2 linked regions of the Callithrix jacchus genome follow. The protein of the gene in region 2 interacts with the protein of the main gene of each other region in a pairwise test. Links are inferred from orthologs where the notes say so. Each region holds a gene or a part of one and is shown on either strand. Other genes may lie near its edges.

Evidence for each region.
Region 1: the proteins of BRAP (region 2) and NUMA1 interact in a two-hybrid assay, tested with the Homo sapiens proteins (2 studies listed by BioGRID and IntAct). The link is inferred for Callithrix jacchus from reciprocal best matches to the Homo sapiens genes BRAP and NUMA1.

The regions. Positions count from the first base shown.
Region 1 is NC_133511.1:68,865,555-68,869,959, reverse strand, and holds the start of NUMA1 (nuclear mitotic apparatus protein 1), read right to left. Parts: upstream 2,910-4,405; 5' UTR 2,707-2,909; exon of another isoform or gene 2,519-2,706; intron 2,158-2,518; exon of another isoform or gene 1-2,157. UniProt on the Homo sapiens protein: Microtubule (MT)-binding protein that plays a role in the formation and maintenance of the spindle poles and the alignement and the segregation of chromosomes during mitotic cell division.
Region 2 is NC_133510.1:114,546,024-114,550,507, forward strand, and holds the start of BRAP (BRCA1-associated protein), read right to left. Parts: upstream 2,833-4,484; 5' UTR 2,688-2,832; coding exon 2,606-2,687; exon of another isoform or gene 2,334-2,605; intron 201-2,333; coding exon 39-200; intron 1-38. UniProt on the Homo sapiens protein: Negatively regulates MAP kinase activation by limiting the formation of Raf/MEK complexes probably by inactivation of the KSR1 scaffold protein.

The sequences.
Region 1 (4,405 bases), on a different chromosome or scaffold from region 2:
ATAATTGGAAGCCTAATACACAGCTAAACTATCAATCAAGACTGAAGGTGAAATAAAGATTTTTTAAATGAAGACAGTGTTTACCACTAACAGATTCCCACCTAAGCAAACATGTGAAGGATGTATGTATCTATAATAAGAAAGGAAGGAATAAAATGCAAGGAAAACTGGACAAACAGTAGACATATATGGGTGAAACAAAATAATCACTAACAATGTAAAACAACACACATTTTAATTGAGATGGAGTCTCACTATATTGCCCAAGCTAGCCAGGAACTCCTGGCCTCAAGCAATCCTTCCGCCTGCTCCTCCTGCCTCAGCCTCCAGAGTAGATGGGATGACATAGCCAGCCACCATGCCCAGATACAAAGTAATAATAATAATTATTTTTTTAATAAAAAAATATGGAATGCTTCACGAATTTGCGTGTTATCCTTTCGCAGGCGCCATGCTAACTTCTCCGTATCATTCCAATTTTAGTATATGTGCTGCCGAGGCGAGCACAAGTAGTAATTATAGAATTGCTCAACATCGAGATGGATTGACTTTGGGAATGGTCTCATTCTAGAAAGTCCTCATTTTGAGTCTGGGCAACACCTTTTCATACGTTTAGTGGGTTAGAGGCTGAATTAAATGACCACACCCTTTCAATGGCAATAACAGCAATTACTTTTGCACCAACCTATATCTTCTGATCATAATTTTATCAATTAGACACAGCTGTCCAAACAGCCCCTGATCAGCTCTGTTTAGCCACCTAAGGAGGGCTTTGCCCTCATCCTAACAGTTCGAGAATTCAAGTCTTATTTCAAGGCATTCTTCCCGCTTCCATATTCCACATGTAAAAAAGAATTCTATGTTCCCTAATGAGCTTTCAGGTAAGATCTTTAAGCTTTTGGGGTGCACAGTTTTTTGCTTTGAACTAAGATTAGGCATTACAATTAGTCATCACTGCTTGAACTTAGGCCAAGAAAAGAGTACTTCGGAAGCTTTCACAACGTGTGTGCTTCTTCTAAAAGAGAAAATACCACACAGAAGCAGAGGGAGAGAGGAAACATACACCCATCCGTGCTGACTGAAAGCTCCTTTACATGATTTTCATGCTCACCCCCGGTTCCCATATATTCACAGCAGTAAAGATCTCCACAAAGTAGACAGGCCCAACTCCCTTACTATTAAAGCTTTAACGACCAGACAACCCAGAAGTTTGGAAACATAGAACCAGCGAACAGATACTAGAGAGAGGGAGGTATGTATTAAGGCAAGAAAATATCATCACGTTTTCAAGAGGGAGTGACATTCCAGGAAAGAGGACAGCTTAATACTTAGGTTCAAATGCCACTAAATGAAAATGGGGGCCGGGCGCCGTGGCTCACGCCTGTAATCCCAGCACTTTGGGAGGCCGAGGCGGGTGGATCACGAGGTCAAGAGATCGAGACCATCCTGGTCAACATGGTGAAACATTGTCTCTACTAAAAATACAAAAATTAGCTGGGCGTGGTGGCGCGTGCCTGTAATCCCAGCTACTCCGGAGGCTGAGGCAGGAGAATTGCCTGAACCCAGGAGGCGGAGGTTGCAGTGAGCCGAGATTGCGCCATTGCACTCCAGCCTAGCGAAACTCCGTCTCAAAAAAAAAAAAAGAAAATGGGAAAGCAAAGTTCCTGTGCCCTTTCAGTCCAGGAAAACACATTATTCCAAAGCAAACATTAATGCCCATTACATGTCGCAAATCCTGCCTTAGCCATTAGGATACAGTGACGAAAAAGTCTCTCATTATCTAGAAGGGCAGACAAACACGCAGAGACTCTTAAAATACCAGATGACAAGTGCTAACTCAGAGGTAAGCAAAAGAGAGTACCCAGAGGCGGGAGCATCAACCCACAATCTTCACACAGTCACATCACTTATAATCATAAATTTGTACCCTCCGAGGTGAGTGTATGAAACATGTTATCTGTGAATAAAACAAAATACCAAAACAAAACAAGCCCATAAAATAAAAAATAAAAAGACCTACCTCTTTTGACCAGGATAACTACCCCAGGAAGTAGGTAAGTTTACATATATGAAAAGTGAGGCTCAAAATACACCGACCAGCCCAAGACAATGCGCACCCCCACAAAGCACCTTCCCCGTCTTCATTTATGCCCAACTGGCAAAACCCCAAGTAGAGCCAACCTCGCATTGGCTACGTAACCCTGGCCAAGCTAAACATTAAAAACCTCGGCCTCCCCATCTTTAAAGTATAACAGGTGCTTAGAGGATTGAAAAACCATTGGGAGGTCATTGTGGACAGTGTAGCTCAGAAAAATGCTGACTACTGCACTACCATAACTACTGCTATTGATAACGATAAACGCTGAAGACTTTCCAGGACCCGACCCCTCGCTTACAAGCCTTTCAGGCACTACCCTACCCCCAAACCCCGACCCCCGTCGCCCTCAGACTTAATTTCACAGACACGCCCCCAAACAGACCCTCCCCTTTATGGCACCCCCCCCGGCTCCTCCCCCTCAGACAGGCGGCTCTCCTAACAAACCTTACCCCCAAATTGTGCCCTTTCGGACTCGGTTACGGAGGAGGCCTTCCGCTCACACCGGCCTCTCCAGCACCCCGGTGCGCAGGCCGCATGCCAGACGCGGGCCCGCGCCGGTTACCTGGCTGCACGCTCCCGCTCCGCCTTGCGATTCCCACTAATCGTACCTTATCCCGGGCTCTGGCCAGCGCTGTGAGCGCACAATTAGTTTAAACTATGGCTCCGCCCCCTCGTGCTGCCCTCTGATTGGCCTCTGTCGGCAGTTGTCTTACGCGGGGCACGCTTGAAGACCCGGGGAAAGGAAGTTTGAGGGCCACTGGGAAAGAGAAGGGGTATCACCGCTTCCGGACCCCGGCCTGGATTTGAAAGCAAAGAAAACTACAAATCCCAGCGCCACCCGCGGCCTTGAAGCTCCGCCTCTGACAAACTACAGGTCCCGGTAAGCATAGCGTCAGTTCTTACGGCGCCTGCGGGATAGTGGCGACAAAAGTAGTTGCTATGGAGTTGCCCTGAGTAACCCTGAGGGACTCCGAGACTGGAGAGGAAGCAACTGCGGGTGAGTCAGGCGGGAATACAGGAAACTCATTCTAGGGGACAAGAGATCTATGGAGAAGGGAGGGGCACCCACAGAACGACTAAGAACTTCCCTGCTGGGGGATCTGAGATTTCCCCCACCTCCCCTCATTCCCTTTCACAGTGGGCAAGACACAACACCCACATGGGACAAACTGTGGGGGCAGAGGGAGGGAAAAGCATTGAGATACAAACCCATACAGATTTGGGAGTGTTTAAGAACTTCCCCCAGGGCCGGGCGCGGTGGCTCACGCCTGTAATCCCAACAGTTTGGGAGACCAAAACTGGCGGATCGCTTAAGGCCAGAAGTTCGAGACCAGCCTTAAAAACATGGCGAAACCCCGTCTCTACCAAAAATACAAAATATTAGCTGGGCTTGGTGGCGTGCTCCTGTGGCCCCAGCTACTAGAGAGGCTGAGGTAGGAGGATCGCTTGAGCACAGAAATTGAGGCTGCCAGTGAGCCGTGATTGCACCACTACACTCCAGCCTGGGCTACAGAGCAATACCCCCATCTCAAACAAAACAAAACAAAACAACGAACCTCCGCCCCCAACACAAACATAAGGCTCCCCAAATCAGATGCTTCAAGTCCCAGGCCCAACCTGGGAGATCGGAAACGCCCTCAGAAATGGGATTTGTTTTCCTCTGAAGAATTTGAACCCTCTTCCAAAACATGTTTTCCTCTGAAGAATTTGAACCCTCTTCCAAAACATGCGATTAGCATTAGATAGAGTAAATCCGCAGTCCCTACCCTAACTCTGGAGATGTAGGAAACTTCCTGGGGCGTGAAGTGCCTCTTTCCTTCCTCCCCCAAACAGTAAAACCTCTTCTCAATTGGCAGGATCCTCCCACACTGTTCCCAGATTCCCTTTTATCCCCACACCTTCTCCATGGTCCGCTTCTCAAAGCTCTAGTTAGTTATATTCTTTTTAGTCCTCACAGATCTATTACAATAAGTAACTTATCCAGCGCTTTCACAGTCTCTCTATTGATACTCTTACCAGCTCTGTTAGTCAAGGGTATTTGTCTTCATTTCACAGATTGGAAAAATGAAACCCAGAGAAAAGGGACTTGCCCAAGGCCACACACCAAATTAGTGACAAAGCTAGAACTAGACTCCAGTTCTCCGACTTTCAGCTGTCTCTTTAGCTTGAGCCTACGGCCTCAATAGCTGAAAGACCTGTTCCAAGGAACAAGTTAAACTGCCCCAGGGAAAAGTAACTTGTAGGGCCTACTTTGGACTATTTACACTTCAGCCTGAATAAGTTTCAGATCCTTCCATGAAAGCTGTA
Region 2 (4,484 bases):
ATGTTACAAAAGACAGTCCAGGGTTTTAGAAAGCATACCTGGGATGGACTTCATTGTCTCAATGATCACATCTGTCATTTCTCGACGGCCGAGATGCTGATGGATAATTGCTGCTTTCTCACCTGGTGACTTCCCTTCTAAACAGGCTACAGCTGAAGCTAGTGTTGTCTTTTTGATCTCCTCATCAGACATTTCCCCTGCTAAAGAACACATAAATGATTAATACTAAGTAATAAAACAAGCTCCTCTTTATTCTCTATTCATCCATTATTAGGTTTCCCTTTTCTTTCTACTGCCTTCCACCAAGATGATAAGAAGCCTTTGTAGTATCCATCTCACTCACCTCTGGGACCACTGTGGAAACAGTCAATAAGTAGCCAGGAAAATATACTCAGAAATGCAGGCTGTTCTACTGAAATCATGCACTTTAATTTTTTGAGACAGTCTCACTCTGTCATCCAGGGGTGTGATCTTGGCTCACTGCAACCTCCTCCTCCTGGGTTCAAGCGATTTTCCTGCCTCAGCCTCCCGAGTAGCTGGGACTACAGGCATGCACCACCACGCCTGGCTAATTTTTGTATTTTTAGTAGCGATGGGGCTTCACCATGTTGGCCAGGATGGTCTGGAACTCCTGGCCTCAAGTAATCCGACCTCCTCAGCCTCCCATAGTGCTGGGATTAAAGATGTGAGCCACTGTGCCAGGCCCAAAATCATGGACTTTAAAGCAAATTGACTCTAAAAGAGAGTCCCTAATATATGCTCTGTCAGGGAAGGGACTATGTCTGTTTTGCCTATCACTGTATTCCCAGCACTTACACCACAATGCCCAGCACATAGAGGAAGCTCTCTTAAATATCTGATGAATAAATGGCTATATGACTGACCCATGCAGATGTCTGTATGTGGCTAATATCAATTTAGCTGACTTTCAGAACTCAGAAACCACTTAAGCCTTTGGAAAGATGCTCATAAGCTGTTAAATCATATTCAATTTTCATTTGCAGCTCCAAAGGTCACATACCCAGGAAGTTTCCAATGACATCATACCTACCTGCCCCCGTCCCTCTCTCCAAACCAAACACATCTTCTTGTAATAGCTTTCCAAACTGTTCCTTCTTTCCTTCATAGCACTTACCACAGTTGTAATTCTACACTTACTCTGCACTTAATTCATGTTTCCTTCAAGAAACTGTTGGTGCCATTAAAGCAGAGACCCTGTCTGATTCAGCATATCAGGAAAGCTCCAGCAGATGTGAGCATGAAATAAGTTATTTTATTTTTATTTTTTTGGAGATGGAGTTTCACTCTTGTCGCCCAAGCTGGAGTGCAATGGCACAAACTCAGCTCACCGCAACCTCTGCCTCCCAGGTTCAAGCAATCTTCCTGCCTCAGCACCTGGAATAGCTGGGATTACAGATATGCACCACCATGTCCAGCTAATTCTGTATTTTTAGTAGAGGCGGGGTTTCTCCATCCGGCTAATTCTGTATTTTTAGTAGAGGCGGGGTTTCTCCGTGTTCGTCAGGCTGGTCTTGAACTCCTGACCTCAAGTGATCCGCCTGCCTTGGCCTCCCAAAGTGCTGGGATTACAGGTGTGAGCCACCTCACCCGGCCCTTTTTTTTTTTTTTTTAAAAGAGTTTCTCTCTTGTCTCCCAGGTTAGAGTGCAGCGGCACTATCTCGGCTCTTTGCAACCTCCGCCTCCTGGGTTCAAGCAATTCTCCTACCTCAGCCTCCCTGGTAGCTGGGATTACAGGCATCTGCCACCATGTCCAGCTAATTTTTGTATTTTTAATATACTCAGGGTTTCACCATGTGTTGGCCAGGCTGGTCTCGAACTCCCGACCTCAGGTGATCCACCGCGCCTGGCCAAGAATTTCTTGAATGAATGTTATTATTAGGTAATTATCTGAGGACCAAGGAAAAGAGCCAAAGCTGCATTCCCCACTAAGGAGCTATGCTACTGGTGTGAAAACCTCAGACTCAAGTCCAGCTCACTGAGTTAGAATCCCAGTTTCACTCACTACAGATAACCTTGGGCAAATCATTTAATCACTAAGCTTCAGTTTCCCAATGTGTAAGAGACACACGCCACACCCATTTACCTCATAGGGCTGTTGCAAAGATAATTAAATAAAATGCACAAAAGGTGCTTAGCACAGTGCTGGGATATACGAAGTGTCCAAATTTAGTTATTACTGTGGTTAGGGGGCACCTCAATGGATATACTTCCAAAAGGGAACAATTTAATTAAACCAAGGACCTCCCAGAGTTGCTGGGGACCCAGTCGCTGCCTCTACGAAGCCTAGAGGGAAGCAAGTGAAATAAACATACCACTCGACTCTCTCGAGAGGGAGACGCGCCAGGTATAGACAGAACGCCCGCAGAAGGCACTGGGAGGGTGGTTCGGGGCAGCGCTTCCCTGAGATGACACACGGGAAGGCCTCTCAAGGGCAGATGGAAAAAGAGGAATCCCGACCACCTCTCCGCTTCTTCCGGAGGCAAGAGCCCTCGCCACGGGCTTTTTCCGGGACAGTGCTTTGCGAGGGAAAGCCCCCTGGGCCCAGACCCGATTACAGGGAAGGCCGCGAGGCCACGGGACTCACCCGCGGCGCTGAAGCCGAAGCCGGCAGGGACGGGCGAGTGTTCCGCGAGCTCCAATCGGATGACAACAAGTGACACACTCATAGGGCAGGCGCTGGCCGGCGCGGGTCCCCGGCTGGCTCAGGAAAGGCTGGGAGGCGAGACGAGGGGCGGAACACCCAGGAGCCGGCAGCGCCGCCGCCGCCTCAGCAGCAGCAGCTCCTCGCAGAGCTCACAGAGCCACAACAACTTCCACTTCCGCCTCCCGGCCGCCGTCGCTGACCGTGGGTTACGCATGCGCGCATCACCGCGCACAACGATTGGGCCGCGCGGCAGGGGGTCAGCCTGGTGTCCTTCCGGACGGGATCTCGAGGAGGTTGGAGCAGGAAGTCTTGGCGATTGCTGTGGCTGGGGTCTCGCGCTTAGGCTGAGCGGCAAGTTTTCGCCCAGCCCCGAGTTAACCTCTGCCTGCCCGAGAGGCCTCGTCCTCAACCCACCTCGTCTGACGGCGCGGGATCCCCGGCTCCGCGAGGTCTCCGAATTGTCCACGCTGTCTGCTATGCAGAACTTTGCCCCTTTTGTTGTGTTTGACTCCTCCCTCTAACACTAGTAAGGGTGGTTTTGTTTCTGTCCCACTTTACAGATAAGTACAGTGAGGTTCAAAGAGGTGAAGTGGCTTCTAAGGAGCCATAGGGAGTGGAGACTCGGTCGCCATTTAGACAGCGATCTGGTCGGGCGCGGTGGCTCGCGCGTGTAATCTCAGCACTTTGGCAGGCTTAGCTGGGCGAATCACTTCAGGTCAGCAGTTGGAGACCAGCCTGGCCAACGTGGTAAAACCCAGTCTCTACTAAAAATACAAAAAATTTAGCCAGGCTTGGTGGTGGGCGTCTGTAATCCCAGCTACTGGGGAGACTGAGACAGGAGATCGCTTGAACCTGGGAGGCGGAGGTTGCAGTGAGCCGAGATAGTGCACTCCGGCTTGGGCAACAAGAGCAAAACTCCATCTCGAAAAAGAAAAAAAGAGAAAAGATAGCGATTTGCTGGTTACGAGCACAGTGCTGGAGTTCTGGGTCCTCCTCCCCACCCTGTCACTTCACAAATGTTTACTGAGAGTTTGGACACCCTTGGGATGCGTTGGCGTATAAGATAAACGTAGTTCCTTTCCATATTGTGAAGTCGACCTACATCAGCATTTGTGCAGTCTTCAACTAGTCATTGCATAAAGTTGGCATGATATCATAACTTCATGCAGTTGTGAGGATGAAACAGAATTATGTATATAGAGATAATACTAACTTTCTGAGACTAAGCATTCTCTGCAGTATGTCAGACTGACTTTTGTATGTAGATATTGACAGACACAATCAATGCATAGATGACAGGATGCTACTCTAGGTACATTCTATAATAATAATACATATGTAAGTACATAGTACATTCTAGATATGTGTATGTGCAGACTGTATGTCTATAACATGACCACAAGATATATGTGTATATAGAGCTTGTGATTACATCCTGTGAAATACGTTTCCACATGCCCTGTTTAGATCAGGGTTTCTCAACCTCTGTACTATTGACATTTTGGGTTCTGATGCTTCTTTTTCTTTTTTTTTAGCCAGGGGTCAGGGTGTCCTGAGCATTGTAGAGTGTTTAGAAACATCCCTGGCCTGACCCACTAGACGTCAGTAGCATCTCTCCCAAGGTGGTGACAACCAATAATGTCTCTGGGCTTTCCCAAATGTCTCTTTGGGGTCAAAAAACATAACCCCAAATGTTGAAGAATCACAGTGTTATGTGAAAGTGCATAAACCATACATACATACTATGTGCATAAAACATATGAGATTCTTGTGAACTTTTTTGGTATATTACCGTAGAAGATAACATTTCAAAGTTTGC